Oreochromis niloticus: one gene and its partner. The protein of the gene in region 1 purifies or fractionates together with the protein of each later gene. This does not show direct contact. Links are inferred from orthologs where the notes say so. Each region holds a gene or a part of one and is shown on either strand. Other genes may lie near its edges.

Evidence for each region.
Region 2: the proteins of cul9 (region 1) and apex2 purify together in Homo sapiens (affinity purification with mass spectrometry; 3 studies listed by BioGRID and IntAct, counting the BioPlex papers as one, with this or other methods). This does not show direct contact. The link is inferred for Oreochromis niloticus from reciprocal best matches to the Homo sapiens genes CUL9 and APEX2.

The regions. Positions count from the first base shown.
Region 1 is NC_031978.2:2,306,987-2,323,462, forward strand, and holds the start of cul9 (cullin-9), read left to right. Parts: upstream 1-9,249; 5' UTR 9,250-9,309; coding exon 9,310-9,451; intron 9,452-10,558; exon of another isoform or gene 10,559-10,689; intron 10,690-11,218; exon of another isoform or gene 11,219-11,290; coding exon of another isoform or gene 11,291-11,291; intron 11,292-11,369; coding exon 11,370-12,065; intron 12,066-14,196; coding exon 14,197-14,351; intron 14,352-14,449; coding exon 14,450-15,055; intron 15,056-15,519; coding exon 15,520-15,661; intron 15,662-15,732; coding exon 15,733-15,923; intron 15,924-16,325; coding exon 16,326-16,476. Other genes in the region: uncharacterized protein syndig1, read right to left, coding at 3,036-3,724, 3,954-4,212. UniProt on the Homo sapiens protein: Core component of a Cul9-RING ubiquitin-protein ligase complex composed of CUL9 and RBX1. The CUL9-RBX1 complex mediates ubiquitination and subsequent degradation of BIRC5 and is required to maintain microtubule dynamics and genome integrity.
Region 2 is NC_031984.2:10,932,187-10,948,086, forward strand, and holds apex2 (DNA-(apurinic or apyrimidinic site) endonuclease 2), read right to left. Parts: upstream 7,968-15,900; 5' UTR 7,892-7,967; coding exon 7,777-7,891; intron 7,662-7,776; coding exon 7,578-7,661; intron 7,359-7,577; coding exon 7,178-7,358; intron 6,974-7,177; coding exon 6,830-6,973; intron 6,362-6,829; coding exon 6,292-6,361; intron 5,018-6,291; coding exon 3,920-5,017; 3' UTR 3,791-3,919; downstream 1-3,790. Other genes in the region: zgc:162200 (protein bicaudal D homolog 2), read left to right, coding at 10,475-10,726, 14,738-14,950, 15,170-15,322. UniProt on the Homo sapiens protein: Functions as a weak apurinic/apyrimidinic (AP) endodeoxyribonuclease in the DNA base excision repair (BER) pathway of DNA lesions induced by oxidative and alkylating agents.

The DNA of each region.
Region 1 (16,476 bases):
ACATTAGACACCTGTGTGTATGTCTGTGTCGCCACCCACCTGTCGGTCAAACAGGCCACGCCCCCAACAATGCAAACTTTAACCCAGGTGAGTTATAAAAACATCCTCCCACATACAGTTGTTACTTAACAGCACATGGAGATTTTAACACAGGAGTCTAGGGGACTGACTCAGTGCTGCTGCCTCTGCTGGACACCAGAGGAACTGCAGCACATGGAGCTTTCTGATTGGTTTTGGCTAAAATGAAGTCTACATTTTTGTTTGTTTCTACAGATCCAGCAGGAATAAAGAGAGAGGCCGTTCCATCAGCTGGCTGTGGGGGTTGAGCGTGACACTTTCAGGAGGCCAGCGCTTGCCTCACGCCTCAAGTCAAAATGGAGGCTGCTGTAAAACGTCTCGTGGTGCTGTGACGTCCCTGATGGTGTTTGTGTACCTACTGCAGAGAAATCAGTTTCGCATCCTCACAAATGTCATTACTGATTTAATTTTAAACTTCTGAAATAAAACTTCCTGTGAGCTTTAAACTCCTGGACTGGTTTCACTTTACAGCTTTAGGTGAATAATTCAGGTGATTCACCAAATTGTGACTGTTACTGCTCCTCTGAGTGTGCCCTGCCCTCTGGCCTCTTTAATCCCTGCAGCACACACACACACACCCACACACACACCCACACCCACACACACACACACACACACACCCACACACACACACACACACACACACCCATTAGAGCTGCAGAGTAGATTAAAGCTGGACTTCAGTGAGACAAAATCTCAGCTAATCGTCTCTAAAGCGATTGGCTGTTAGGAGGTCAAACGTGTCGCTCAGAGAGCTGCAGCTCTGAGTGCTAATCTCATTCTGCAGGAAGCACTCTGACTCCCCATCACGGACGGATGGACGGACTTCCAGCCATCCATCCGTCCACCTGTCTGTCCTTCCCTCTAGCCCTCAATATATCCTTCCTTTCATCCTTCTATCCCTCCTTCCATCCTTCCATCCATCCTCCCACCTATCCTCTTCAGAAATCGGATCAACACAGCAGTGGGCTCAGCAAGTATTCCAGATGTTTCTTTACTAGCTTTACTTCCTGTTATCCAGAGCTGTTCCCAGGTCAGACAGAACGTCTAACGTTTCCATGTGTCTGTATGTTGTCAGTCGTCCAGGTCATGGTAATCTCAGGAGCTTGGAAAGAAGAGTGGGCTTCTTTGACGTTTCACTCTTTATCAATTCTAAAGAGAAGCTTCTCAGATGACAGCTGAAACGTCTTGAAGTAACTCAAAGAAGCCCGGTCGCTCTTCTTTTCAAGCTCCTTATACTATAATCTTTCCATCTAGTTCTGGATGGATCCGGTGGGGTTTCTGGGCATGGCTAAAACATTTCCAAAGAGAAGCATCCAGGAGGAACCCTGATCCTGATCAGATCTGATCTGAAACACCTCCTTGATTCTGAGATCCCTCAAAGTGCGGGTTCCTCACCCGATCTCTAAAGAGGAAGCTGTTTCTGCCACTTGGATGCCACAGCTCACAGTCACAATGGTAGAAATGTACATTTATACTCAAAGGGGAGCAACCAGCTGTTGCCCAGCAGGTCTGAAGTAGTCAGAACATCTGCGATGCTTTAAAAAACTTTGGGTTAGAGCATCTGTGAGCGACTGATGATGACCAGAAATCACTAAGCCAAGATGATGAACCAGCAGCCACAAAAGCTCCTTCAGAGCTCAGCTATAACAGTAACACCGCAGATACTTTAATCTTGACTTTCTTGATGTCTCTGATGATAGCAGATATCAGCTGATTTCCAAAATCTGCTGGATGTGCTTCATCAATGTCACCTACTACAGCACAGACAGGTTTGTGTTCACACACTGTTTTATATATATTTCGATTCGATGCCCTGACCTCCATCATGCTGAGCTCACTGATCACCAAACCAAGCCTCAAGCTGACTCACAGTGGCTCTCACGTCTGGTTCTTCCTCTGTTAAAGAAGATCTGACTGGATCACAAGTCAATGTGGAAACTTTGTTAACATCTTTCCACTGTGATGCGGTTGTTGTTGTCATAGCAACGACTTTAAATGGCAAAAACATTGGTGTTCAGCCATGCTTCCTTGGTGTGGTAGCACCCATGAGGAAACCCGTTTTGACTACCACAGAGACGTTTGACAGCAGCATCTAGTGGACATGAGAGGAACTGCAGTGCCTGTTTTCCCTCAGTGAATATATGCTGATGACACTTTTCTGTCAGAACGAGAAAAAGAGTCTTGGCACTCGTTCTTCAGACCTCTGCCCTCACCTCGGCTCAGGAGCCAGAGTGAGTCATCCACCAATCAGAAGGTCAGTGGTTGGGTCTGGGGTTCTGTAGCCAGAGTTTTCCCCAACTCATCATCAGAGTGTGAGTGTGTGAACGTAAGGTGAAAAGAGCTTATTTACCTCGAGCTCCTGGAAGTCTTCATCGTCGTCGATGTCATAGGACAGCCTGTGAATCTTTGCCTCCTCGCCAGAAAACTCCAGATACTTCCCATCAGTGAACAGCAGCACCTCCTTTGTGGAGGTGGGGGCGGCAGAAGAAGAGGAGGCTTCTGGTCCAAGTCCCTCGATGAAGGTGGTCTCACAGCAGTCGCCTCCCCCGGCCTCCCCCCAGGCCCGCAGGACACTCTCTGGGCACAGGAAGAGGCCGGGGGCCGGCCTGAGGCCAGGGTCTGGCACCCCATGGTGGGGTAGGAGAGTGCTGGGGTTCAGAAGCTGGGGAGGACCCCTGCTGTGCTCCTGCTGAGTGGAGGTGCTCATCACCACATGACCCTGATACTGAGGAGCAGAGTACACTGACAGCAGCGCCTCCTGGGGCTCCGCCCCCAGCCTGTGCGTGTTGATCAGGCCATTTTGTCTGCAGGATTCTCCTCCTCCTCTCTGTGAGACTCTCCCAAGCCCGGAGGAGGTTTCAGTCTCTTCTCCTCGGCTCTCCTCGTCTCCTCCACCTTCCATCTCTCCTCAGAACTCGTTTCCTCCTCGAGGGGTCTCTCAGAGAGGTCAGAGGTCAAGGGTCAGGCATTGTGGACTGAACTTTGCTGAAAAATAGAAAAAGAGAAGATAGAATAGAATAGAATAGCCCTTTGATGTCATTGTACAGGTGCTCCACACCAACTGTGACAGCAGGAATAAATACAAAATAAGATAGAGGCACACACTGGAGAACAAAGGAGGAAGTGCAACAAAAGGCGTTGGTCCGTGTGTGACGGGCCTGTCCTGCTGTCCTCACAGGCAGAAATATCCTCACAGCACGGACACATGCACCCGTGTGATGTGTGTTTGCAAATGTGGTGTGTGTGTGTGTGTGTGTGTGTGTGTGTGTTAGAGGATTCACCTGCTGAGCTGCATCCTGCATCCCATGAGATGCCTCGATAAACACCTGAGGTCCTTTTATGTTTTGGCAGGAAACCATCAGCAGGAGGACAGTCTGACATACGGGGACATGTCTGCACTGCTGTGTTTGCGGCTTCATATTTGGACCTGATGATGGTCTGTTTGGAATATGTGACGTCAGCAGCGTGTGTGAAACCTTAAACACCTGAAGCACCTGGTATATTAGAGCTCTAATAAAGGATTTCGTGCCTCGGCCCTCCCTCCATACAGTCGTCAGATATTGTGGTGTTTCCTGCTGGTGCTTCCTTGGCTGTGGTGTTGGAGGTGTTCCTGACGTTTTTGGTGTATTTGTGACTCTTTGAGCTGAAACATCAAATAATCCACAGCACATTAATAATAAAGCTCATCTTCAAAGCTGCGCCCCCACCATCACCACCAACAGGCGCACGTGCATGGACACCGCGCACACGCACGTGCACGGATGTTTACAGAAAAAACCTCATCGTAGACCCGAATACCGACACTCACCGGCTCTGACGTCAGCACGGTGATAGCCACACGCGCACACACACAAACACGCGCACATACTCACCTCCCAAGGTGAGACACGAGAGCCGTTCATCCACCCATCTGCGCATCCAGGCGTGACAGCGACCCCCGCGGCTGTCCCGCAGCCGCTCTGGGTGCGCTCTGAGCGGGCTGAGAAGCGGCGGGGTCCCGATGCGAAGCTCCGGATTTCCAAAACAGCCGTAAGAGGAGAGAGGCAGGCGGGCAGGCAGGTGTCCGTCTGCTCCGAGAATGATTCTCCTGCAGAGAGGAGGTGGAGAGGAGGAGGAGGAGAGAGGAGGCATGTGCGCTGAATACAGAGGAGGTGTGTGTCAGCAGAGACTTCTTCCACAGGGTCCTAAAGCCCCTCACATCAAGCGAATGACGAATTGAATAAATCGTCCTTGAAAACGTCCAGGTTTGGACTCGTGAAGTCAGACCCGCTGAACAATCGCATGTTTGCTCGGACTTAGAACTGGTTTTAGTTTGGAGTTGATCCTGATCTGCATCCACGAATTTCTCAAAGAATTCAGAAATTCAATTAATGTTGAATTTTGGACATCAGATCTTCTTTTGTTTTTAGCTGGGAGACATCGTCCTGATGTTCTAATATTACAAACCGAATCTGTTCCAGATCTCCTTCTGCAATCAGTTCATGCAGGAAGTTTATGATGTCTCAGCTCCACCTGCTGCTTTTCATGCAGAAACAATCTTGTAGAGACTAAACAAAATATAAACGAGGGAAGAGTCAAGAGAGAGAATGTCAGGGTGAGATATTCCATCAGGCGTCATGGAAACAGGACATTTTAAAGTGAACCACACTTTCTGTCATAAACACTCTTCAGACAGAGTACACTCACTAAACCTTCATCAGGTCCCATTAAACCTGGTATGAGTGATGGTTTGATTTTATCAGTGTGTCACATCACTGTGGACGAGGAACTCACAGCTCGTCTGAGCGGTTTGCTTTTTGTGCGTCAGATGTGCAAACATCTCCACTGTGCTGTGGTTTGTTCCAGACGTCTGGTGGTTTGTGCAGTTAGGACTCTGCAGACCTAGCAGAGCTGCCATGAGAGAGGAGGCATCAGGTCATCAATGCATCCGATCAGGTCGTCAGTGCATCCGATCAGGTCGTCAGCGCATCCGATCAGGTCGTCAATGCATCCGATCAGTTCATCAATGCATCCGATCAGGTCGTCAATGAGTCTGATCAGGTCATCAGTGCATCCGATCAGGTCATCAATGCATCCGATCAGTTCATCAATGCATCCGATCAGGTCGTCAGTGCATCCGATCTGGTTGTCAATGAGTCTGATCAGGTCATCAGTGCATCCGATCAGTTCATCAGTGCATCCGATCAGGTCGTCAGTGCATCCGATCTGGTTGTCAATGAGTCTGATCAGGTCATCAGTGCATCCGATCAGGTCGTCAGTGCATCCGATCAGGTTGTCAGTGCATCCGATCAGGTCGTCAATGCAGCCGATCTGGTTGTCAATCAGTCTGATCAGGTCATCAGTGCATCCGATCAGGTCGTCAGTGCATCCGATCTGGTTGTCAATGAGTCTGATCAGGTCATCAGTGCATCCGATCAGGTCGTCAGTGCATCCGATCAGGTTGTCAGTGCATCCGATCAGTGCATCCGATCAGGTCGTCAATGCATCCAATCAGGTCGTCAATGCATCCGATCAGTTCATCAGTGCATCCGATCTGGTTGTCAATGAGTCTGATCAGGTCGTCAGTGCATCCGATCAGGTTGTCAGTGCATCCGATCAGGTCGTCAATACATCCAATCAGGTCGTCAATGCATCCGATCAGGTCATCAGTGCATCCGATCAGGTCGTCAATGAGTCTGATCAGGTCATCAGTGCATCCGATCAGGTCGTCAATGAGTCTGATCAGGTCATCAGTGCATCCGATCTGGTTGTCAATGAGTCTGATCAGGTCATCAGTGCATCCGATCAGGTCATCAGTGCATCCGATCAGGTTGTCAGTGCATCTGATCAGGTCGTCAATGCATCCGATCTGGTTGTCAATGAGTCTGATCAGGTCATCAGTGCATCCGATCAGGTCGTCAATGCATCCAATCAGGTCGTCAATGCATCCGATCAGGTCATCAGTGCATCCGATCAGGTCGTCAATGCATCTGATCTGGTTATCAATGAGTCCGATCAGGTAATCAATGCAGCTGATCAGCTGCTGCTGCCGAGCAGAAGAATAACGGCGCTTCCCCTGGGGGCGGAGTCAGGTTTCCACGCAGTTGTTAATTCATTAACATCGGTGTTATAGAGCTTAGGTTGGATTTGAGCTCTTAGGACCTGCTGGAGCCCCACCCACCTGATGTTTGTGAGGGGTAGCCAGTCAGAGGTAAGCTGTGTGGAAAATGGGGAGGAGTTAAATATCTCGCTTCAGACAGAGGATGCAGAGAGGCTGGTGTCAGGTAAAGAAGGATTATTCTGAACAGGGACTCATGCACAGCTGCTTTCAGAGAGTCCAGGAACAGACCACACGTTACCATCAGGAGGGAGGAGGTAACGGAGGGGAGATCAGGATGAAGCAGAGAATTTTGGAGGAGGCTGAGGAAAAAAACGTCAAACATCTGAGTGAGAAGAACTTGTCAAAGCAGAAGAATAAGCTCCAAAATAAATTCATGGATAGTAACCGAAACTAAACAGGATGTAGGGTGCGCTGTACGCAATGATGGAGTCCTCATTTCCTGTTATCCTGCTCCACCCACACCACCTTTTTTGAAAAGCATGCAGGAGTGTTTTTGTGTGTTTTACTGTGTAAGATTTAACCTCATGTTGAATATGAGCTGCACAAAAGGGAAGTGCTGAAGCAGCTTAATGGTAAAAGTGCCTTCAGTGATCCACACATCACAACATCAGGTCACTCCTGCAGAGGGAAACATAAATCAGCACAAATGAAAAATGCTGCATCCCCTTCACGCTCACTGCAGACCTGCACAGCTTCATCCACCTCACAGGTCCAGGGCAGATCTGACAGACGCAGCACTCCTCCTGTCAGACCACACTCAGGGCCCACCGTCACACCTTCACGCTGAGGTCTGAATGTTGGAAACAAAATGAAAAAATCAGATTTTGTCTTGAATTTACTCATTTTTATCTTCATGACTCAAAATTCTTTAGAACCAGATTTCCAGCTGAGTCCAAACTTCCTTTCCTGTTTTCATTCTTCGGTTAGTTTCGGTTAGTAGGGGAAAGTACCACAGCTGTGGAAGACCTCCTGTGTGGTACCGGTACCAAAGACCTCCCATCCCAAGGACCTCAGCAGCTACAGGCCGGTAGCCCTGACATCACATCTGATGAAGACCCTCAAGAGGTTGGTTCTAAACCATCTGCGCCCCCTGGTGAGGTCTTCATTGGATCCGCTGTAGTTTGCTTACCAGCCTGGCATTGGGGTGGAGGACGCCATCATCTACCTCCTGCACCGAGCTCTGACTCACCTGGAGAAGCCTGGAAGCACTGTGAAGATCACGTTCTTTGATTTCTCCAGTGCTTTCAACACCATCCAGCCACGACTTCTGAGAGACCAGCTGGAGCTATCGGGAGTGGACCACCACATGTCCCAGTGGATACTGGACTACCTCACAGAACGCCCACAGTATGTGAGGTCACAGGGCTGTGTCTCTGACACACTGGTCTGCAGTACGGGGGCCCCACAGGGAACTGTGCTGGCACCGTTCCTCTTCACCCTCTACACTGCAGACTTCTCCATCAACTCCCCACGCTGCCACCTACAGAAGTTCTCTGACGACTCTGCCATAGTCGGCCTCATCACAGGTGAGGACGACTCAGAGTACAGACAGTGGACTCTGGACTTTGTAGACTGGTGTCAGCAGAACCACCTGCTGATCAATGCCGGGAAAACCAAGGAGTTGGTGGTGGACTTCTGGAGACGCAGACCCACCACACTGACACCGGTGAACATCCAGGGAGTGGACATTGAGATAGTGGACTCTTATAGGTACCTGGGTGTTCACCTGAATAATAAACTGGACTGGAGCCACAACACTGATGCTCTTTACAGGAAGGGTCAGAGCAGACTCTACCTGCTGAGGCGGCTGAGGTCATTTGGAGTACAGGGAGCGCTTTTAAAGACCTTCTATGACTCTGTGGTTGCATCTGTCAGTTTTTACAGTGTTGTATGTTGGAGCAGCAGTTTATCGGCAGCTGAGAGGAAGAGGTTGGATAAACTAATCAGGAAGGCCAGCTCTGTTCTGGGATGCACCCTGGACCCAGTGCAGGTGGTGGGAGACAGAAGGACTCTGGCCAAAATAACATCTCTGATGGACAGAGTCTCCCACCCCATGCATGGAAATGTTGCTGAACTGCAGAGCTCCTTCAGTGAGAGACTGCTGCATCCTCAATGCATGAAGGAGCGTTTCCGCAGGTCCTTCCTCCCTGCAGCTGTCAGACTGTACAATCAGAACTGCTCCCAACAATCACAGATGTTTACATCAGTGCTGTAACTGCAATAAGTTAATCAACCGATTTGCACTACAACCTGGTTTGCCTCTTATCTGTAGTTATTTTTATTTAATTTAATAACTGTACAGTACTCTGTTTATAGTAACCATTGTCCTTAATGTAAATATGTAAGAAAAATTGTGTATGTTTCTGTTCTGTGTCCTGTGTACTGTTTGTTTGTATATGTGTCTTTTTGGCTGCTGTTACAACCAAATTTCCCCTTGTGGGACAATTAAAGGATTATTCTATTCTATTCTATTCCCTAGTTCCTGCTGCAGTTCACAGATTAAACGTCAGCGCCCCCTGCAGCTGTGGACGCTTTACTGCAGCACACACACCTGTGAGCCTCCAGGCGCTCCTCCCTGCAGACTCTGGAGCAAGGCTGAAGGGAAAGCATCAGATAGTGAAAAATGAAGAAAATGCAAGAAATTAAAAACTGATATTTAATCTTTAATCAGCGTGAAATGGGATGCTCATACATCCGGCAGGCCGGGGTGGTTGTGACGGAGGAGGACGCCGGGACAGGAGGAGTAGCTGCTGTCTGTAACTCAGAGAACAGAACACTTTTGTTTTTGGAGCTTTCCTCTCCAAACAGCAATAATAATATTAATGTGCAAGGGTTAGACAGACAAAAATATCACCTGTACCTGACCCTCTGCGGTTACACCCTTACTTACACCTGTCTGTTACACGTACCTATTTGTTGCACCTGTGTACCTGTTAGTTACACCTGTACAGACCTCTCTGATGTTTTCGCCTTCCCTGTTGGACTCGTTGGGCTGATGTCCCACTGCCGTTCAGCGGGGGGCGCGCTGCTCAATCAACCGTAGTTTTGAACCCAGCGAAGAAGAAAAGTGTCGGCGCGTGCGTCGAAGAAGAGGCCGTTAGTGACGCTGTTCCTGTCACAGTGCGCAAATGCGCATCCAGGAGTGCAGAACTCTGGCTGAGAGCGAGCAGAGCCACACCGGCAGGCTGAAAAACGAAACCTTAGGAAGGAAGCGAAAACAGCGCTCCAGGGGGGGCACTCAGAGCGGGGGGGAGGCCTGTGACGCAGCAGGTAAGCCGGACTTACCTGACACTCGGCTGGTCCTCCGGTCCGGGCCGTGGATGCCCGCGGAGCCGCTTTCCTGCCGGAGGCCCTCCGTTCACATCCACAGCCCACCCCGAGCCGCCCTGAGAGCGGCGCACCAAACTCCATTCAAAAAACTGCCAATTCAGAACAAACGCTCCGCAGAGAGCAGAAACACGCGCAGTCCCGTCCGTGTCTGAGACGTGTGGCGAGCCTGTCGGAGGCTCGCTTCGCTTCGGCACACTGATACTGAGGTTCAGATGGCAGGCTATCGCCACCAGGGCTCAGTCAGGAACTGTTGGCTCGTCCTCTGAAGTTTGTCTGAGGTGACGATGATGCAGAGAGCGGAAGACTGGATGTAGACTTCATTATAACTTGTGTTTAAAAACGGGAAGTTGGAGGCGCCGAATTTACTAGAATATTCTATAGAGCAAAAAAGAGTGAGTTAGTCTGATCAGCGAGCTGTTTAAAGTTAAATGGAGCTGCTTCTTTTTTTTTTTTACATGGGCTTTGGTGTGACGTTTTGAGCGCTCCGTCCATATGGCTCACCATGAGTAAAAGTTGGCTGGTTAGGTGTGATGGGTAGTTAGCTGGCATGTTAACCAACAAAGCGTGCCGCAGCTTTGACAAAGTGCGTACAAAGCGCAGATTTTTGCGGTTAAAGGTGAAACTAACTGCGGCAGCGAACTAGCCTTAGCAGCCATGTTAGCTTGTTGCGTTCAGATAAAAATAAAAAAAAAAAAAAAATCAAGGGCCCAACTAATTCCTGAATCTACAGGACTGTCAGTGAGCTGATGCAATGAAAAGTCACTTTGACTTCATTAATGACACTGCGCTAAAGGCAGGGCAGCGGCGAGCACAGGTGACTCCAGAAATTACTCTCCTTCTTACCCAAGTTTTAGACGTAGCCCGCTGAAGCTAGTAGCCGTTAGAGCGCACGCTCAGCTGACAGCGGGGAGACGCACCGGGATCGTCCCAGGGCCGAAACACAGCTGCAGCTGGAAACCAGCCGACTTTGTGCTTCCACCAAACTCCTGTCAGAAATCCACAAATTTTGCCCTGACATCAAACTAGTGTCACATCTGTTTTATTTCACACCAGCATCCACTCGGAGTTGTGGTCATCTTAGAGTGATCTTCTCTATACCCAGCTCCAGTCACATCTGCAGAGTTCACCCCATCACCAAAGTCCAGTTAGTTTGATTTCTGCATATTCTTCAGAATCCAGTAAGAAATGTGCAGATTTGACCGCTGACATCACACTACAGTCACATGTCTGTGTTACTTGTCGTTATGCCAGAGCTCCATTCAGTTTCTGGTCATTTTAGTTATTTTCACGATTTTCTTTGGGTTGATCAGCTTTTCTGTTTTTTTTTCTCTTTCTCAACAAAAACGGAGTTATACTTCAGGTGATGTCATGTTCTCGTGGCCTCCTGATGAAACATCAGTCAGATTCTGGTTAATTTTAGAGTTTGTTTATATGAGAAGTCACAGAAGACCTGCTGGTTGTACACTGCTTTAACTCTAACACCAAACTCCAGTTAAATGTTTGATCATTTTCGAATACAATAAAACTGTTACATGACTTTATTCCCGCCACAAAAGTACAGTTAAAATTTGAAGTATTTCTCTTTGGGTCTGCATGTTTTACTCTTTCACTTTCACTTCAGAAGTTCTCCTCCTTCACACACATGTTCAGTCAGAGTAATTGTTTTAAAGAGAGGAACCGAAAGAATAACGATTCTAAAATCTGCAGATTTCTGACTGGAGTTTGGTTTGGAGATCATCGGTTGCCACTTTCCTCAAAGTCCAGTCCCATTTTTGGTAAAGTAAGTTTACTGAAACATAAATAAGCGCACTTCTTCTCTTTGAATGACCACTTCTCCTTTTCTGGCTCCTCCCATCAGTGACCATGGTTGGCGAACGCCGCAATGGGAACCTGCTGGTCCAGCTCGGCCCGAAGCTGCAGGCGTATCCCGAGGAGCTGATTCGACAGCGGCGCACCCACGATGGCCAGACGGAATACCTGATTCGCTGGTGCCTCATCGCCATTGACGATGGCTCCAGCTCTGGAGGTGGTGCCAGCGAAGTGGGCGGGACGGTTGGCGTCAGCTCCGGGGTGGGCGGGTCCGTGAGCACTGTGTCTGGAGAATCCAAACCGGAAAACATCCTGATGTGGATGTCGACAGAGGATGTGTACGCCAACTGTCCCACACTGCTGGGCAAGAGGAAGACGGACTCCCAGCGCCCCCTGCAGCAGGAGAAGCAGCGTGGCGGCGAGGCTTCCGACTCGGGCATTTCAAGCGGCACAGAGTTCCCGTCCGACGTCACCTTTGACGAGGTGGAGCTGTCGGACATGAAGGAAGACGTGAAGAACCTGGTGTGCCGAGCCCGAAAGCAGATGGCCAAGAAGAGCGACTTCTCCATCAACATCATGCACACCATCCACGTGTTGAGCGCCTACGCCAGCATCGGCTCGCTCGTCGGCGTCTTTAAGGAGACAGGCGCGCTCAACCTGCTGATGGAGCTGCTGTGCAACAAGGAGACGCAGACGAGGCGAAGCGCCGGGAAGATGCTGCGTGCGCTCGCCTCACACGACGCAGGTAAGCAGCGCATCTTTAAACCACGCTGTGATCGGATACAGGGCTTAGTTCCCCCCCCCGGTGGGCTGTGATGATACTGCAGGCTTGTTTTAGAGTCCTCAGGTGGATTAGGCGCCATTATTCTTTTACATTCTCAGCGGTAGTTGAACAGAATTAACAGCTGGAGCTGCTGTGGGAGATAAAATCATCAGAATATTAAAAAAGGTCAGACTGGATCTTCTGCCTGTGTGCCGGTCAGTTGTGTTTTAAGGGTTGGGTGGGTGGCGGCGGCGTTCTGGAGTTTCAGTGATGAATGAAATGGGAAGTGAAGCGTGAGGACCGATCAGAGTAATGACATCTGCGCGCTATGCGTCACACCTGTTTGTGCTGAGTACCATCAGCTGATAGACCGAGGCAACACCGCCTCCTCCTCCCAACTCGCTCTAAAATGTGGCGTAAAATATAAAACTACTACTTTGACCAGCTGGCCAATAGGATTAGAGGGGTGTTTTTCAGTGGGTTTGGTCTTTGATACACGACATGAGCTCGGCGCGGTCGGCGGTGTGCTCCAGTGCTGCATCAGCGTTCAGGTGTTGGCGATTGGCCAGCGTGTGAGAACGATCGTGAATCGGGGGAGGAAGCGTTTTCCGACGGGGAGAATGTCCAGTCAGAGGCGGTCATGACGGGTGGACTAAAGTTTTTAGCTCGTGAACCCTCAGATAGCCTGACATCATGTCACCGTGGCAACAGAAATGTTCAGCTGACTCGAGAAAAAACAGGGCGAGCCCTCGCGTACAGGAAGTTCAGAGTGCTGTGTCACCGCGGTCGGCCGTTTGAGGCGTGCAGGCCGAGGTTAGCAGAATGATCAAAGGCAGAAGCGTGAAGCTGACGTTAGGACGCTGAGATCGTGGTTGCCTTAAGATTTAGATCTGGACTTTGGAGAAGCCGCCTGAGCGTCGAGGGGTGATGACTCAAACCTTTAAACGGGCCTCAGGCGTGCAGGGACAGCAGCCATGTTTACATGCCACAAAGCCATGGAGGAGTTTGATTCCTGCTTGGAGAAGCAACACTGCTCCTCCACGTCATAGCTGGAATCGGAGCAGAAGAAGAAAGTTTCACGTTTTCACGCTCTGAGAATCTCTGAACTCCCGTACTGATGGAGGTGGAGGAGGGAGTCCCGGCATAGACTGCTCCCTCTGAAACAGTCGGTGACATCAACGCCTGTCACATGATCAGTACTCTGATAGAACGGTGCTGATGATTAATAATCAATAAGTTGTGATCATGCTCTTTCTCAGTAATGTTCCAGTTACTGATGGTAATCACAGCAGCGTGAAGCCGAACAGGCACTGGAGCTTTTTGATGGAGAAACTGTTTTATCTCTGTCTACATCCGCCTTGTTAAAGTGTGCATCCTGTCACGCTCGTTACAGCTCGGTCCAGAAACGCACTCGTCGGTGCAGGCAGCCAATCAGCAGCAGCTCCACACTCGGGCTAAAATGAGCGTTTTTATGAATGGACTCTGGTGGCTTTCAACAGAGGTCCACATCTGAATGTGTCTAAAACTTTGATTCTTTCAGGTTTATTCTGTCCGTGTTCAGCTGCTTGACGTCTCGTAAAGCTCCGCCTCATTCGTTCGTCTTCACCTCAGAGCTGAGAGCTTTGAGCGCTAATGCGGGTCGAGCGTGATGCCGCGTTTACTCTGACATGGTCTGAAAAAAATCAGTTAATCAATAATTTGATCAGATGTTTTAAGTCCTTGTTAAACACTGCCTCCACCCTCCTGGCTCCGCCCCCTGCTGATAGTGTAAAGGACAGGTGTCGAACTCCAGGCCTCGAGGGCCGGTGTCCTGCAGGTTTTAGATGTGTCCTTGATCCAAGCTGATTTAAATGGCTAAATGACCTCCACAACATGTCTTGTAGTTCTCCAGAGGCCTGGGAATGAACTAATCATGTGATTCAGGTGTGTTGACCCAGGGTGAGATCTAAAACCTGCAGGACACCGGCCCTCGAGTCCTGGAGTTCGACACCCCTGGTGTAAATGGTTTAAAGTATAAATGTGTGCTTATGGGCTAGCGCCTCCTGGAACGACTATTGATCTGTTATTGAGTGGTGTCAGGTGCTGAGGGCGTGTCCTGCTGTGTCGCACGCAGGCAGCCGGGCATACGTGCTGCTGTCTCTGAGCCAGCAGGACGGCATTGAGCAGCACATGGACTTCGATAACCGCTACACGCTGCTGGAGCTGTTCGCCGAGACCACGTCGTCCGAGGAGCACGGCATCTCCTTCGAGGGCATTCACCTGCCGCAGGTAAGACTCGTTTCTTTATGTTGTCAGAGGTGTGCCTGTGTCGCCCCGCCCAGCAGGGGGCGCCGCTGCAGTAAACCTGTTTGACTGTGTGTGTTCAGATTCCCGGGAAGCTGCTCTTCTCCCTGGTGAAGCGTTACCTGTGCGTCACGTCTCTGATGGACAAGCTCAACACAGCGGGGGCGGAGTCAGGCTCTGAAAAGCTGGACACCTGCCCTTCTCCCGCCTCTTCCTCCAGCAGCTCCGCTCACCAGACGGAGCAGCTCCGCATCCAGCGGGAGTTTGACTTCACCATGGCCATGGCCAACCTGATCTCGGAGCTGGTCCGAGTGATGGGCTGGGACCGTAACCGCCAACCGCTTGATGGCTCCGCCCACCTCACGGGAGGTGTGGCTGGCGTGGAGGCTCAGGGGGAGGAGGCTTCCCGCCCTGTCCTCAGGTCCATTTTTCAGCCTCGATTCTGCGCCTCCCCTGTTGCTCTAACCACCAGCTCCGGTGGCGCGGCCCCCGCCGCCACACCACCAAAGAAGAAAGCAAATGGTTTCAAGACACGCTCGGACTTCACCTGCCGCTCCGCCTACGTGGAGTACGTCCAGGACAACCTGAAGAGCGGCATGATGGTCCGCATGCTGGAGGACTATGAGGAGGTGAGCGCTGGCGACGAAGGAGAGTTTCGCTATAGCAACGACGGCTCGCCACCCGTACAGGTGAGGAAACCCGTATAGGTGGGCTGAAGTAGGGGGTGGGGCTTCATGCAGGTGTAGAGAAAGATTTGGCTGTCAGAGTAGAGCGCACAAACATTAAATGGAAACACAAGTTGTAGCACACTACAGGAAATCGCCAGCAGAGGGTAGCGAGCACAGGTAACCAGCGCTCAGTGAACACCATCAGAGTGTAGCTACTGAACGCCAGCTGGTGGAGGAGAAACATGGACGAAGCTGTGAGCAGTGTTAGCCCCTCCCCCCAACACACACAGTCAGCTGATTTTTATTTACAGTGACATGTTACCTTCATGCTGTGAATACTTTCAGAATAAAAGCCCTCAGAGTACACGGAGGTGCGTCCACATTTGGTGCTCTTATTTTTGAGTCCTTAACTTAATGAGTTAGAAACTGCACTCAGATCAGCGTGACTCAGAGCCTGCCTCTGACCCGCTCTCTGCTGTGTTCAGGTGTACTGGAACTCCCTGTCCAGGACTTACTGGGTCCACTGGCACATGGTGGAGATTCTGGGCAGCGGCAGCAGCAGTCAGGCCGAGAAGGAGACGCAGGAGAAGGCCTCCTCTCTGACCGAGACGCTCAAACTCTCATCAGGTAAGAGCCGAGCGCTGTCTGCTGCTCCTTTGCTTTCCTCCGCAGTCTGAGCACGTCTCTTCTTCTCTCAGTGAGCCAGACCTTCTTCTTGAAGCCTCCGGGCGGTCTCTACTCTCTGCCCTACCTGTCCGAGGGTCTGAACACGGAGCCGGTCACTCTGAGCAGAGCCGAGTGGTGGGAGATCCTCTTCTTTATCAAGAAACTGGAGCCGAAGCAGCAGCAGGAGGTCAACGGCGTCCTGCTGCAGAGCCTCGATGACCAGGTAGGAGACGCCTTCGTCTCTTGGGTTTAAAGTCAGAGCGCGGGGAGGCGGATCATTGCGGTGAGAGGATCTGACCGTCAGCCGCCTGTGGCGTAAGCGTGCCGCTACATCACCTTATGTCCTTTGATAAGAGTCGCTGCACGTGTGCAGCTTGTTGGACCAATTAGATCACGAGAAGCTGAAATATCCTCTGAAAATAAAAATCAAAGTCTGCAGAGTTTATCGCAGCGACGGTGAGCGAGGGGTTCATGGCCCTGGTCAGTGCACCTCCCAGTCACATGGTACAAATAAACCTGAGTCTGAGCGCGGGACGGCGGCCGCCTGGCTTGTCTACGTTGAGCGGTGAAATATGATCCGGGTTTGTGGTTTGAACAGCCTGACTGTCACCACATCTGTCCTTAGGAGGCGGAGCTGGACGACTCGTCTCTCATTGGCCTGTCAGTGCCCGGAGACGTGGCCAAGAAGCTGCTGCACTACCTGAAGCAGAAACTGCCGTCATCGTGCCTTGGCGACCTGCTGTGTTCCCACGCCTTCACCAAACATTACCTGAAGA
Region 2 (15,900 bases), on another chromosome or scaffold:
ATCATACATATATATTACTGTATCTTATTATCCAGCAGCGTTACCACATGGCTTTTGTCTGATGCAAGACCAGCTCACTATTGACAGTTAGCCCTTCCCTTCTTTTCACATGTACAAGGAACTCATTTAAAGGACACACGCATTTTTGCTGCAACTCACCCTTGCGATTCCCAAAGAAAGCTAGGTTTCTTTTCTGAATATTAACAGAATAAATCCTTGTGTAGGTTCATTCAATTTTCAGACTTCTAGTGTTTTTATGTAGCTTTGTTCCTAGGAGTCTCACCAAATCTTCTTGGTAGTAAGGAGAGGAGAGAGTGAGAGAGATTAGTGAGGCTGGGAGGGAGAGCTGCAGGAAATGGGAACACCCATACTTAACCCTTTGTTAAACCAGCAACACAGGTACTGCTGACGTTGGTGAGGCTTTGTAGGGATCCTCTCACCAGGTGGTTGCAGTGGAATGGTGTGAACAATACTGGGTATAACAAGGCAATAAATCACATGTGGATTTCACAGAAAGTCAGTACTTCAAACCTTCCACTAATCCCACATACTTATTATTCAGAAGAGCTTCTGGTCTTTAAACAAAAGATCAGCCGTGTCATTGCAGAGAATAGAAGGAGAAAAGTGGGTGTCATCTGAGATGGGTTTTATTATAGCTTTAACAGATATTCACTAACAGTTTTCCTCCCCTCTGGAAGTCATGCAGATTGTAATTAGCTTAGGAGATAAGTGCTTATTTAAGACTGATCACATGTGGCGGTGCTTAAGAGTGGATTTGTTGTGTGTGCGCTTGATTGAAAACAAACCCTGAGACCTGAATCCAAGCATTACACCGGAAAAGAGCACGTCATGAAACATGACACATTCGCAGATTTTTAAAAGGTTCTCACGCACCTAAAGCACCTCAGAAAGGCGAAGATTTTCACTTTCATCAATAACAGAAGACATCCCTATCAGCAAATTTACTGGATTACCACCAAATGGAAGCTTCGTAGGAAAACTAACCTAAACTAAAATGTAAAGAAAAAATGTGTTTCTGTAATGTGTTAATCCACCTGTATGCACAAGCTCTAAGAACTAAATTATATTTTTAATGCTAAAATACCATTATTGCTGTTATTAGTGAATTTTCAAATTTCACTGTTTTACAAAACAGCTGAAAAGTAGTACACCACTTTTTTTTCTTAGTAAAAGTGCCAAACTGCAGTTATTTATTCACAATACTGAACAGATAAAAGTCTGTGATTTAATATTGCTTGCTTGGTTGAATGCTTGATTAATTTCAGACTTTTCAGAGAAGTTAAATGTGCCAGGTTAAATTTGGGTATAAAAATGTGAATTCAGTTTGTTACATGCTTGATAAATAGCACTAACTTTTTAGTTTTATGGAGTTTTTTGAGAGATTTCTAAAAAATGTTTTTATGACAGGCAGTCTAATACATTTGTTAAGCACTCTATGTCACCTAAATGAAGTAAAGTAAACATACTTTGAATGTGGTCTAGGTGTTACCAGAACTAAATTGTCATCTCCTTCTCAGAACTGTTTCAGTTGGGGTGATAAGATTCAACGTAACTGACATATAAGCTTTAGCTGCACACAAAGAAACACCCACATTCCTTTATCTCACCAAGACACACACATGTTGGAACATATCTATTAAACAAGTTCATATCTTGCTATGATGCACACAGCTATGTTTTAACATCTCTGAAAGACTTGTTTTTTGCATGTTAAGAAAGCTGGATAAAAAAGATGAGGTCACTACTTTTTAGAGTAAAGAGGTGGTTAGAAGATCAGAACAGTAAAAGAAAGTAATGAATCTGTGTACAAATACAGTGAATGTTATCTTTGTAGCGAATGGAGCAACTATTCTAGGCAACTATCATATTTGATGTAGAAAATGCTCCGTGAGGTGACAATCTGTGCTGATAAAATCATGCCCTGAGCATTTAACTTTATGTTTCCTGAAACAAAAAGTCAAGCAAGCATCTGCAGCCGAGATGATCTCTCATTTCATCTAGTCATTTAAATTTCTTCTGTGCTGCGACAACGACCAACATGTGCGCAGATGACAATAGAGATACAACCTCATCTGAAGGGTTAAAGCAGAAATGTGCAAATGTTCTTTGTTTTCTTGTTTCTGTAATGAATACTAGTCCTCAGTAGCTATAATAGCAACTTGCTAGACATCTTTTGCCGTCTTAGAATGGGAAGTCGTGCTGCTCACGTGTAGCACATGTCTCCGGTCTTTGTACTCACCTAATTACAGTCAGAAAGAAGATGAATGTATTCTGTCCAGAAAAAAGTAACAGGATGAAAGTTCAAACTTGCTTGGTTCAAGTCCAAAAGCAGCTTTTCACAGAGTCATGAGCTCCTCTTTGGCTCTAAGAGCAGAGGAAAAAAAATGGGGGAAGAAGGGAGATAGCAAATGCGCGCGTAAAGAAATTTCCTCCTCTCAGAAGGCACTCCCACACTGATCAGGGTACGTGCTGTTACTTTATGTAGTATTTGGACATTGGCGAGATTGATACTTTCTCTTCTACTTCTTCTTCTTTTTTTTTAACCTATGGAACAGTTTGCCATATTGAAGTAATATTTCTACTGTGCACCCTAAAACTGGGAGTAAAAATACATCAGACACCAATTTAAATACTCCACTTCCTGGCCTGCATAACAGTTGTTGTAATACGGTCATGCAGCTGGTAGTGTGAATAACATGTGCTTCAGTGGAAAGTTACATTTCATTTCAAGCAATGCATCTTCTCACTGCTGTTGCCATCTAGTGGGTATAAACATATTTTTTATGTTAGGAGAGTCAGAGTTGGGGGAAGGTAAAGAGATTTGGATAACATGCAAACTTCACACAGAAAGACCCCAGCCTGGATTTGAACCCAGGACCTTCTTGCTGTGAGGTAACAGTGCTAACCACCAACCTAAATGCACAAAAAATAACATAAAGAAAAAAGAATCTGTTCAATAAATTCAAATGCAAGGCCAACAGCTGGTCTATATATTTTTATCAAAATAACTAACATCTTAAAACATCACATATATATTATGTGACAGAAACTAAAATGTTGTTTATACACAGGCCTGTCTGAAGCTGTCGGACTACAACTTTCGTCTTTCATTAATTAATAGAAAAAAGGTAAAAGTTCCTTTTGCCCAAAGGTAATTTGCTCTAATAGTTTGGTGCAACCAACTGTAAAAAAAACATAACAAAAAGCATTAATAGAATTATTTTTGCAATCATATATAAGGAAGGAAAATTAATAAGCCTGAAATTGATGAAGCTGAAGCTTAAAAATATTTAACATTTTTGTTTGAAAAACAACAAACCCCATGAGGAGCCATAAGCCAGAGTCAGCACACCCATTGTGCCAGTCCCAAGCCTGGATACGTGGGAAGGGTTGCGTCAGGAAGGGCATCCAGTGGAAGATTTTTGCCATACCCAAGATGTGGCTCATCAATAGGACTTCCATAACATTACCATACCAGTGCTGTTGACAAGCTGGGTGCCAATGGCCAAAGATAGAAGAGGAACAGTGGGGGAAGGAGTGTTCAGAGGTAGCAAGAGAGACAGAGGACTGTGGTGTTAGGTGTTAGCATGCTAGGAATAGGGTGAGATTCAGGCAAATGATCCAGTTCGGTGACTCCTGAAAGAACCAGCCCAAAAGGAGGAAAACATTTGTTTACCCCAAATGTTTCGCTGACCAAGTGAACATGAATGAGCAAATCTAATCTGCTCACTTATTTCAGCATTTACAAAAAATAGAACCAAATTCGAAGTAATATAAAACTACTGTGTTTTATTATTTTGATAGGAAAAAGAAAAATACAACTACTACAACATACAACTATGAAGCAATGTTAAAACAATTGTTTATGCTGAAATTGATGGACCTTAATGTAAACATGTCACTTTACTTTGTCAACCCATGCAAAGAAATTGCATCGAGCCTCAGGGTTGGAAGCATGTCCCTGAGGACGTGCACACACAAAAAACTGTTTGCCCATGTTTGGCCCCTCCTTTTTTACAGTACGAAGAACACATGGTTCTCCGTGAACCTTACAGCACGGCGGGGCAGGTGGTCCATGAAGCACTGACTTCCAAAACACTGACGATGTCCCTTTCTTTGCATCTGACTGCCTTACAGTGGGCTGAGGGGGTGAATGTTTTGTGTTCAAATGTTGGTCAGTTTTGGCTGTGGAGCACTGCTGTGATAAATTGTCAGAGATAAGCTCAGGACCTTCAGATTTGGTGTCTGTGACAGAGAACACTTCTTCAGTTATGGGTGGTTTGGCAGCTTCATCCAGATTTAGTGGGTTTTCACACTGGTTAATGTTTGTGGTTTTGGATTTAAAAAAGGCAAGGAGGTTGCCCTGAGGCTTTGAAGAAGCATTTACTGTCTTAGTTTTTTTTCCCTTTGGGGCAACAGAGTCAGATGTCAATGAACGTTTTTTACCAGAGATGTTTGCAGCTCCAGAAGGATTTAAATTCTCTCTCCTTTCCTCCTCTTCTTGAGAACCAGGTAAAGCATTCTTCTGCTCAGACTGGGCTGACTTTTGGTCCACCTTAACAAGGAACCGTGAGAGTTTCTGCTGTTTACCTGCAAACTCTGGCAGGTAGCGAGTACAGAAGGGAGGAGGCTTTGGGCTAGAAATGAGTGAACAGCTCAGCTGCCCCCAGACAGGGCAGTGGTCTGAACCCTCCACCTCTGGCATGATGTCAGCTCCCACAAACTGCTCCTTGGCAAGCTGGCAGTCAGCAAATATGTAGTCAATGCGTGTTCCATAGTTGGTCTGCCGAGCTCCAGTGAGAGTAGACCAGCATGTGAAGGCGTTGATGCGAGTTGGGTGGAAAAAGCGAAAGGTATCCACAAATTTCCCACCGTGGAGTGGATCTGTTTCCTCGGATTCTTTGTCATGTTCCTCCTCATCGCTCTCTTCTTCCTGTTTGCCACGGTGCAAAAAGCCATTCAGCCATTTCCTCCCAGGGTTTTCACCAAAATCATCCTAAATAATGAAAGTTTCATTATTATGGATAATAATATAGCAACACATCTGCCATTTTATGTAATAATATTTTAATCCTCTACATTAAGTTCACTTGGTGATAATTGCTTTCTTGCTGAGACAGATCCCACTACTGTGTCTGTTCATTAAATAGGAAACTGTAGGTAGAAGTCATTTTTCATGTAGCATGTAAGGTTTGGGGGAGGGGTTTATATGTCTGGACTAAGCTATACAAGTTGGCTTTCCCCACTTCCTGTTTTTGTGTAATTTAATACAGTAATGAAAATGTAAACCCCATGATACAATAGCAACAGAACCAACTTTGGCAGCAATAACTTCATGTATGGCTTTATTAGTCTCTCACATTGTTGTAGAGGAGTTTTGGTCCAATCATTTTTACAGTATTGCTTTAATTTATTGATGTTTGTGAGCATTCATTCATGCAGAGGTGTGTTCAGGTCACACCACAGCAATCCAATTAGGTTAAGGTGTGGACTTTGGGCCACTGAAATGGCTCGATTTTCTTTCTTTTTCAGCCATTCTGTTATATATTTATTGCTATGCTCGGGATCACAGCCCCAATTTTTGCCAGGCTTTAGCTGTCAGATGTGTGACCTTGCATTTGACTCTGGCATACAGTGGTATATAGAGAGGAGTTCATGGCGACTCAATGACAGGTGCACAGGTTCTGGCTGCTAAAAAGCCCAAAACATCACCCCTCCACCACCACACTGATGACAGCTGGTGTGAGGTGTTTGTGCTGATACGCTGTGTTTGGTTTTCTCCACATGTGGTGCTGAAGGACACTGTTTCAGAAGCCTTATGGTTTGTTCAGAACTACAACATAAACCCATGTTGTGCTGTTACGTTTGTGTTTTAGAGAGAATAGGATTCTATAGGAAGCCTGTTGAGTGTCTGGTGTAGCTCATGGGTTTTTGCAAATTCTTTGAGCTTTGCAAGCTCTGACACGAGGGTGAATTTACTGGAATGGCCATTCCTGGGAAAGCTGAGACATTGTGTAAACACCTGAAGGCCCCAGGCGAACAAATTTCCACAACATGTGCTTTGATAGAGTTGGACGAACGTTCTGATTAATCATTAATCAAGATGCTGGCTGCTATTTACCGTCTCAAATCCTATGGAAGCAGTAAGGCTGTTATTCGCAGTTTTTCACAGGATTCTAGATATTTAAAAAGCCTACTTCTCAAAATGTTGATTGATGTGAATCAAAAAGCATATATATATAAAAATATATATATTAGTATTTTACTTACAATTTCACTAGGGTCACAGTGGTCTATTGGTCTATGAGATGTATTTATGTCTCCTAAAACAATCACATGGCTGGAAAATACAACAGAAAAAAGATTAACTCATTATCTCGATACATTTGTAGAATTTAAAGAACAATTTTAAATAAAATCTGGAATATGTAATAAATAAAATATTTCTCATCATCATCATTGCTGTCCAACAATTGTGATTTTATCAGAATATATATAAATGTTATTAAACTAAAGGTGTATAACCATAAACGCAGAAGCAGCTGTTTTCGAATATACTGCTTTGTCTGTACTAACTTACAATTCAATAAAATTATAAACACCAGATAGTGTTTGGCTTTATTTTACAAACAGCAAAACATAGGGCCCACTGCCAAAACTCAAAGACATAATAATGATTTACTGGAAGAGCTGCGTTGTTCAAAATTAGCACAGTGCCTTAAAAAAACATCTGTGGCGAAACCAGGATACACCTGCTACTCTTGTAACGACAATGTTTTGCTCAGCCAGTGAAACATGAATTTCTCACCTTCCATCTTTCAGTACAGCTTCAGCTCGACTCTGAAGTAAGTTGTAGAACTGTAGTTTGAACCGCTTTCGCTCCGGCTTTTCTGGGTCAGCCCTCGGACAGTATACGTTAATAACAGTAAGGATTTTCTCTTTATCCTGACATCTGTTGGGATAAAATAAAACTCAGTCAAACAAAAAGGCAAGCACACAGTGGGATTTCCCCACTAACTGAGAAGAACTGACAATTTTGAGGAGAGAAACATAAAAATTGCTGATTATTTGTTTTTAAAGTGCCATGTGTAAACAGATAAATATGCAGTGCATCACACTTAAAACAGGAGCCTTAACATATAACATTTCCTCTCACTTTATTTTGTGTTGTGTGATTACAGCACGGCCTTCATTGTCCAACAGCTGCAACTCCTCACTTGAAAACTCAGTGTGGTCACCATAGCATCCAACAGCATCTTTGTGGTTGACCAGCAGACCTGTGAGGCCCTCCTCAGCAGCAAATGGAGTGGCACTTTCCTTACAGTAGGTGGCAACACCTGTGCACATCGGCAATGTGAGGTGAATTGCTTGTAATGCAGTTTTACGAGGAAATGTTTAACTTTTCATTAAAATATAAATGTGGCATTTTATTTTAGAAGACTGCACTTTCTTGAATGTGGACACTTAATATAACTGGATGATAATGCACGAAAAAAAACCCAAACACTTTCAAGGCTCACGGACGCAAAAGGAACTGTTATAACTTTGTATTGAACCTGAGTAGCCACTGCGCCCTCGGCTGTAGCTGAAATAGGAGTTGTATCCGTCGACAATAGCAATCCTTTCATCTAGCAAGTCTCCTGTGGAGGAGAAATTAGGGGTTAACGTTTTTATTTTCATACAGTCATTTTAACTGTGTCGCCTTGCGTGATGACAGCTCCCGCGTTTTTAAACCAGCTATTGCTAATCACTTACGCGTCACTTTTGTCTCCTGAATACAGATAACATCTGCGTCCAGGGAATCAAGAGCCTTTTTAATGCCGCCTCTGAAAGCCCTGATGCCGTTTATGTTCCAAGTAACGACCTTCATTGTGTAGCACTGCAACTAACTAAACAGCCACAATAATGTGCACATCCGGAAGAAAAGCGGAAGGCAAGAACGGTACGACCGGAAGTGTATTCACTTACTAATTTTTCTTTTCTTTATTTCTTTATTTATTTATATAAATTTTTTTCAGGGTTTAACGTTTAACTAACACGCCCTGTTAGAAACAACTGGCCCGAACTATCCATATAATGAAAATAAGGTTCTAAGTGAGGTTGTATTGCCTCGTTGCTAAGCTAGAGGGGGTCCTCGTGCCTTGGCGATTTCGGCGCGCGTTTGACACTCGACCTCGGGAGGAGAAACGGGAGGAGGAACTGGTGGGAGGAAGGGAAACTGCTGCTGCCGCCGCTGTTGGTACCCCTGGCTGTTGTTTCGTGATTAGCTACCGTTGCTTTTAAGAAAGACAGCTCCATTAGGAGGTGCAAGGCTAACGTTTGCGAGCAGCCACCAAGTGCCATCTTTGGGATAAAGCCATAGGGTGAGTATGTAGGTAGGCTAATGATGGCTGTCCGGCTAATTAGCTTGCCTGATAGGATCCGGCTCCTGTTACGACAGTGTTCCAACCCCGTTAGTTAGTTAATCGGTTAGACTGTTGGCGTCCGTTCGGTTGGGGTATGTAGGTAGGTGAAATTGCAAAGCTAAGAAGCTATCTAGCTAGCTAAAGTCAGTTTCACTATCTGCATCAGCTGGTGCTGCTAGCTGTTTTTGGTTGTTTCATATTTCCACTTCACTCCACTGTGGTCTTTGACTGCCGTCAATATGTGTTTTATCTGATTAATATCCTCTTACTTTGAAACGTAGCGAATATTCTCAGTTGCAAGCTCTTAGTCTATGTTCACGGAGAACTGGTTCGTGGCGTAGAGGAAGCAGATGCTTGTTTCATGACTAACTCGCAGCTACATCCTTTGGCAAGGGACGACCAGCGGGCCGGTGTTTCCATCTTCGGTCAGACAAGAGGACACGAGGAAATCGGGGGAATCTGCCCCACCCAGGCTGGTCGAAGTAAACACATGTTGTTTCCGCGCCTTGGTCGTGTAGCAGCTGTTTCAAGTGTTTAGCAGTTATTTGCGTAGTGTGAAAGATGAAGACTGGTCGATGCTACTCGCATAGCACCAGCATCCCCTTGCATTTAAGTTTAAGCCTGTTTTTGTTAATTATGGGATGTGAGGAGACCTCAGTAATCATTTGTTTGTTTTAGGCCTATATCATTTCTTATACGGTGAAAACGGTTTCTTAATTTATGTTTTTGTATATTTGTCAGACCTATATGTTTCAGATCACACACATTTTAGTATTAGACCTCAAAAAACTGAGTAAATGCAAAGTGAAGTTTTTAAATGATCATTTAGCTTTTTAAGGCGCAACAGCTATGAAAAGCTATCCAACCCTATCTGTCCCTGTGTGAAAAAGTAATTGCCTCCTAAACCTAATAACTGGCTGTGCCACACTTGGCAGCAAGAACTGCAATCAGGCATTTGCAGTGACTGGCAATGAGTCTTTCACATCACTGTGGAGGGATTTTTGGCCACTCTTCTTTGCAGAAATTGTTTAATTCAGCCACAATGAGTAATTTTCAAGCATGAGTGGCCTGTTTAAGGTTATGCCAAAACATCTCAATCAGATTTAAGACTGGACTTAAGGCCACTCAAAAACCTTCATTTTATTTTCTTAATCCATACTGGACCATGACCTAATAGTCAGATAGTCTCCTTCAGAATTTTGTGGTAGAAAGCAGAATTCATGGTTCGATCAAATTCAAGATGAGCCTTTGTATCCTTTTTGATGGTTTTTCATCTTGGAACCCTCCCATAGATACCAGTTTGCCCAGCCTCTTTCTTATTGTTGAATGCTGTTCTTCAGATGTTGTTCTTAGAATAGAATAGAATAGAATAATCCTTTAATTGTCCCACAAGGGGAAATTTGGTTGTAACAGCAGCCAAAAAGATGCACTCTTGGAGTAATTTTGGTAGGATGACCACTCCTGGGGGAAGGTTCACCAGATCTCTTTTCCTAATTCACTTTGTCAGACATGTTCTGTTCTGATTATTTTATGCAGCAAGTCAAGGCTGATTAATCAGTTAATTCATGATTTACCAAAAGAGGCTGTTACCATTACGACTGGGCCAGGAGCTTTTCCCTTAATAAATGAAATCGGCATTAACAAACTGCATTTTATTTTATTTGGGTTATCTTTCTCAATATTAGAAATTGATGATATGAAAAACTTTAAGTGTGACAATTGTGCAAAAATATAAAATTCAGAAAGCACTCTAGCTGACAATGCAGCCCTTTCAGCACTTGATCTTAATTTAATCTCTTGGATTTTTCTCCTGGTCTTTAAAGCTTTAGTAAAACGTTTATCCCATTAAACTAATCCCAAAGTTAAACCTTACAGTTTACTCCATTAGTGTCACACTACAATTTATGCAAAAACCTCTATCTCCAAGTATTTTACGTAACCACTTTCTTTGTCTTTTACCTTAGTGGTGTGGCGTAATGAAAGCAGAGGAGTGAAGGAGGCAGTTGTCTCAATAAAACATTGGCAGAGAAGCAGGAGACCAAGTAAGGATGCTGGAGGCGGGTGCAGACCCAGCAGGTGCAGTGGCCGAGGGGGAAGAGGAAGCGGAGATGGGGAGCAGGGATTTGAAGGCTGAGGTGATGCGGTTGACTCTCGAGCTTCAAGAGGCCACAGAGGAAAAGCTACAGGCAGCCCGCTACGGTCTGGTGGTGCTGGAGGAAAGTGCTGCCCTCAAGATGAAACACACACAGCTAGAAGAAGAGCATGAATCTCTCAAATTGGAGTTACAACAGCTCAAAGAGGTAGGAGCACCTAAGGCATATGTTATTTTTTTTAGATTGTTTATTTATATATTTGTGCTGGCTGTAGCTCAGGATGTAGAGCAGGTCACATACTAATTGGACGGTTGGTGGGTCAATCCTATCTTCTCCAGTCTGCATGCCAAATATCCTTGGGCAAGATACTAACCCCAACTCGCTCTCTGATGCATTCATCAGAGTATGAATCTGTGTGAATGTTAGATAGAAAGCACTTACATAGGAAAAGCATAGAAAAAAGTGCTTGTGTGATTGGGAAAAGTGCTATATAAAAACCAGTCCATTTATATATTTACCTGGTAGGCTTGTGAGATCATCATTCCCCTGGTTTCCAGGTACAGTTTTCCTATATCACACACTTGCTGTGTGATCTTTGTTTATATAATAACATGTGCGCAATGAAATGCATTTCCTGTTGTCAGCTTTTACAGTAATGGTCTAATAAACAGAACTCTTGTATTTTTTGCAGGGTATGAAAATCATGATACAATAGACACCATACAAAAATTGTATTTTATAATTATCAGGTTTAATGTGTTTACATTATTGGTAGGCATCATTTAAATGCCATCAACACCATAATTGCTGCTATTATATATAAGCACAATCTCTCTAATTTTTTTTCATTTTATCTTTCATAGTTGAGGAGCTGCCTTGCGGTCTAGCAGTCTTATAAAGATACCATTGTTGAGGTTTTTTTACACGTGCCAGTGGACTATGTCATGAATTTGCCTGTTCATCCCGTCATTGTCTTTTTGTAGCTCTCACTTTCTGATAAAACAGTAACAGCTCTGTTACAGCTGTGACCTAATATTATACTTTGAATGTCTTGTCTTGTGATCACATGTTGAGTCAGGTTTGCCTCACATGTCATTTGACGTTGGCAGGAGAAGAGTGTTAACTGACTATGACGTTTTCGCATCCAGTTAGTCAGCATGTTGCTATTAACATATGTTAATTTGGATGTCTATACAGTGGCTTGCAAAAGTATTCGGCCCCCTTGAACTTTCCCACATTTTGTCACATTACAGCCACAAACATGAATCAATTTTATTGGAATTCCACATGAAAGACCAATACAAAGTGGTGTACACTTGAGAAGTGGAACAAAAATCATACATGATTCCAAACATTTTTTACAAATAAATAACTGAAAAGTGGGGAGTGCGTAATTATTCAGCCCCCTGAGTCAATACTTTGTAGAACCACCTTTTGCTGCAATTACAGCTGCCAGTCTTTTAGGGTTTGTCTCTACCAGCTTTGCACATGTAGAGACTGAAATCCTTGCCCATTCTTCTTTGCAAAACAGCTCCAGCTCAGTCAGATTAGATGGACAGCGTTTGTGAACAGCAGCTTTCAGATCTTGCCACAGATTCTCGATTGGATTTAGATCTGGACTTTGACTGGGCCATTCTAACACATGGATATATTTTGTTTTAAACCATTCCATTGTTGCCCTGGCTTTATGTTTAGGGTCGTTGTCCTGCTGGAAGGTGAACCTCCGCCCCAGTCTCAAGTCTTTTGCAGACTCCAAGAGGTTTTCTTCCAAGATTGCCCTGTATTTGGCTCCATCCATCTTCCCATCAACTCTGACCAGCTTCCCTGTCCCTGCTGAAGAGAAGCACCCCCAGAGCATGATGCTGCCACAATCATATTTGACAGTGGGGATGGTGTGTTCAGAGTGATGTGCAGTGTTAGTTTTCCGCCACACATGGCGTTTTGCATTTTGGCCAAAAAGTTCCATTTTGGTCTCATCTGACCAGAGCACCTTCTTCCACATGTTTGCTGTGTCCCCCACATGGCTTGTGGCAAACTGCAAACAGAACTTCTGTTAACAATGGCTTTCTTCTTGCCACTCTTCCATAAAGGCCAACTTTGTGCAGTGCACGACTAATAGTTGTCCTATGGACAGATTTCCCCACCTGAGCTGTAAATCTCTGCAGCTCGTCCAGAGTCACCATGGGCCTCTTGGCTGCATTTCTGATCAGCGCTCTCCTTGTTCGGCCTGTGAGTTTAGGTGGACGGCCTTGTCTTGGTAGGTTTACAGTTGTGCCATACTCCTTCCATTTCTGAATGATCGCTTGAACAGTGCTCCGTGGGATGTTCAAGGTTTGGGAAATCTTTTTGTAGCCTAAGCCTGCTTTAAATTTCTCAATAACTTTATCCCTGACCTGTCTGGTGTGTTCTTTGGACTTCATGGTGTTGTTGCTCCCAATATTCTCTTAGACAACCTCTGAGGCCGTCACAGAGCAGCTGTATTTGTACTGACATTAGATTACACACAGGTGCACTCTATTTAGTCATTAGCACTCATCAGGCAATGTCTATGGGCAACTGACTGCACTCAGACCAAAGGGGGCTGAATAATTACGCACACCCCACTTTTCAGTTATTTATTTGTAAAAAATGTTTGGAATCATGTATGATTTTCGTTCCACTTCTCAAGTGTACACCATTTTGTATTGGTCTTTCACGTGGAATTCCAATAAAATTGATTCATGTTTGTGGCCGTAATGTGACAAAATGTGGAAAAGTTCAAGGGGGCCGAATACTTTTGCAAGCCACTGTATTAAGCTGATTTTGATTCGTTATGTTAAAGCATTAAGGATTTAATAAGGTCAGAGCAGGATATTCACGATAAAAAGATCAGGGCAATACAGCAAAGCTCAGATTGTGTATAAACCATGCCTTTCATAGATGCATTGAAATAGGGTTTTCATATTCTAAACAATGCACTTTCCTCATTTTTTTTTTTTTAAGTAAATAACCATTGTGCAGTAATACTGACTTGACCATATTTACTAGATCGTTTGAATCTCAATTTTAAAGGTATAAGAACTATATTAGACCCCACTTTCATATTGCCACTGAATTTCATGCTAAAATAACTGATTAATGCAGTGTTGTCTCCATGCAAAACACTGAAGTATAATTAGCATATTAAGAATGTTTTAACAAGTTTGTTTATTAGCTTTTCATTTACTTAAGCAGTGGTGTTTTTGTTGAGCAAATAACATGAAAATGAATATATTCCTGTATTATACATATATAGATGGGTCATGCTTACTGCTAAATTCAGGTATAAAGGGTTAATATTGTTTCCTAATGTAAATTTTGTCACAAATACTTATAGACCCACAAAGGTATTTGGTATTACTGGAACAGGCTTTTAAATACTGATTTATGTAAGAAACTAATCCTATAAAACTAAGTCCGGTCATGTGGGCAGATTTCTGATTTTGCAGTTATTCTATCTGCCTGTTCAAATTAAAAGGGGAAAAATAAAAAAATAAAAATCCTTCTTACAGATAGTTACTGATATTAATCAGTTCATCTGTAAAAATAACAGTAAAAGTGGTCAGCAGGGATGCTTTATAATGCCATATAAATTCAAGTGCTATACTGGTTCTGATTTCAGCTATCTTTATAATCAGTGTAAACCTCCTTTCTTTTTGGCTATTTACCCATTTAGGTTTTGGCCGGGTTGAACTCCTGTGCTGGTCATTGTGTAACCATAGTATTAGTGTTCATTTAGGCATGTTTAGTAGCTTGTTTGTTTCATTAAACCCCTTATGTGATCTTTCTTTCATTAGCACTTATTGGCGCATAGTGTGCGTCAAGGTTTGTGATTGTGGCACGCTGTGAAGAAATGCATATTATTACTAGATAACTGTAATGTATTAGGGTCATAGTATAATATTGGCAAAACAAATAGATCTGCAAAAATGTTGTGGAGGTTGCTGTGAAGGTCTAAGGTTACAGAACCATATCAGCTATTTCCTCATTGCAGTCAGGTCTCAGGTGATTTATGTCCACTGAAAACTGACAGGGAAGTGCAATTTCCCCTCCTTTGTTTAAATTGTTTACATTTCTTATCTTTATAACGATATGGGTCAGTTCTGCAAGTGATTTTTTTTTTTTTCCCCCAATGTGTAACACAATAGTGTGTCAAATAGTGTTTTGTATCTTTCCTTATCAGTTTTTGTTTGTGTAAAGGCATTTGCAGATTCTGTGAGCAGCCAGAAACGTGCAGCTGCTGATGGAGAGTGCCGGGAGGAGAGCCTGCTACAAGAGACTGCCAGTAAAGAGGCTGCCATGGCAACGCGCATAGAGGAAGTTCAGACAGAGCTGAAGCAAGCACGCCTTGCTCTGGGCAATGCCCACGCAGAGATTGATAGACTTGGGGTGCTCTCCACCCAGCTGAAGAAGGTATGGTGTACTCATTCAGTACACCTGTATACCGTTGTTACTGTGTATATTACCAGGCTCCCTCTTCTCGTGATAAATACAAATAAAAATTAAATCCCTATAGAGAAAATATTAGTTCTCTAGCCTCATTCAATAATTAACTATATATGATATGTAATTGACAGTTAAGCATGTTAAGCGGTCATTTGCACTGATTTTATCGTGGATTGTCTCCCACAGGAGTGTGAATGTCTTGAGGCAGAGAAGGGCCACCTGAGGGATGAAATAAAGGAATATAAAGTACGTGAGCTGCGCCAGTTGCAAGACAATGGGGAGCTAGAGGAAGAGAACATATCTCTGCAAAAGCAGGTGTCTGTGCTCAAGGAAAACCAGGTCAGTTGTCACCTTCCTTCACACAATCATTTTTGTATAACATTATATTTACTGGTTTTATTACTGAAAGAACATGAAATAAATCAATAAAAAAAAATCTCCACTCTACATCCTCTGAGTCCCATCTGCTGCATAAATTTGAAACATTTTTTTTTAAATTGGCAAGGGGCAGGAAGGGGCTGAGGAGGAGACATGGATGTGTGAAACAGTAGGTGTTTGGGATTTCCAGGGCCAAAGAGCACAGTGACACAGAAAAGCAGTTCACCTTTGCCACAGAATTGAGTTACCTGAAGTAGACTTGTGCGGTGGGGTAACTAGGAGGGTTTTAGCTAAACCTGATAATGCCCAAAGCCAGAGCTCGCTTGCTCTGCCTATCTCTCTCCTCTATCAATAACCCTAATCTCCAACTGTATGGAGAAATGAAGAGAAATAATTCAGAAAGGTTTTTATTTAACACCTTACTGGATTCAGAATTCTACAATGTATGCTTCCTTCATACATGGGGAAGAAGGTAAAAAATACAGTATACCACACAACATGTTTGTTGTCAAAACCTCAAAGGATAGTAACAAAAAAGC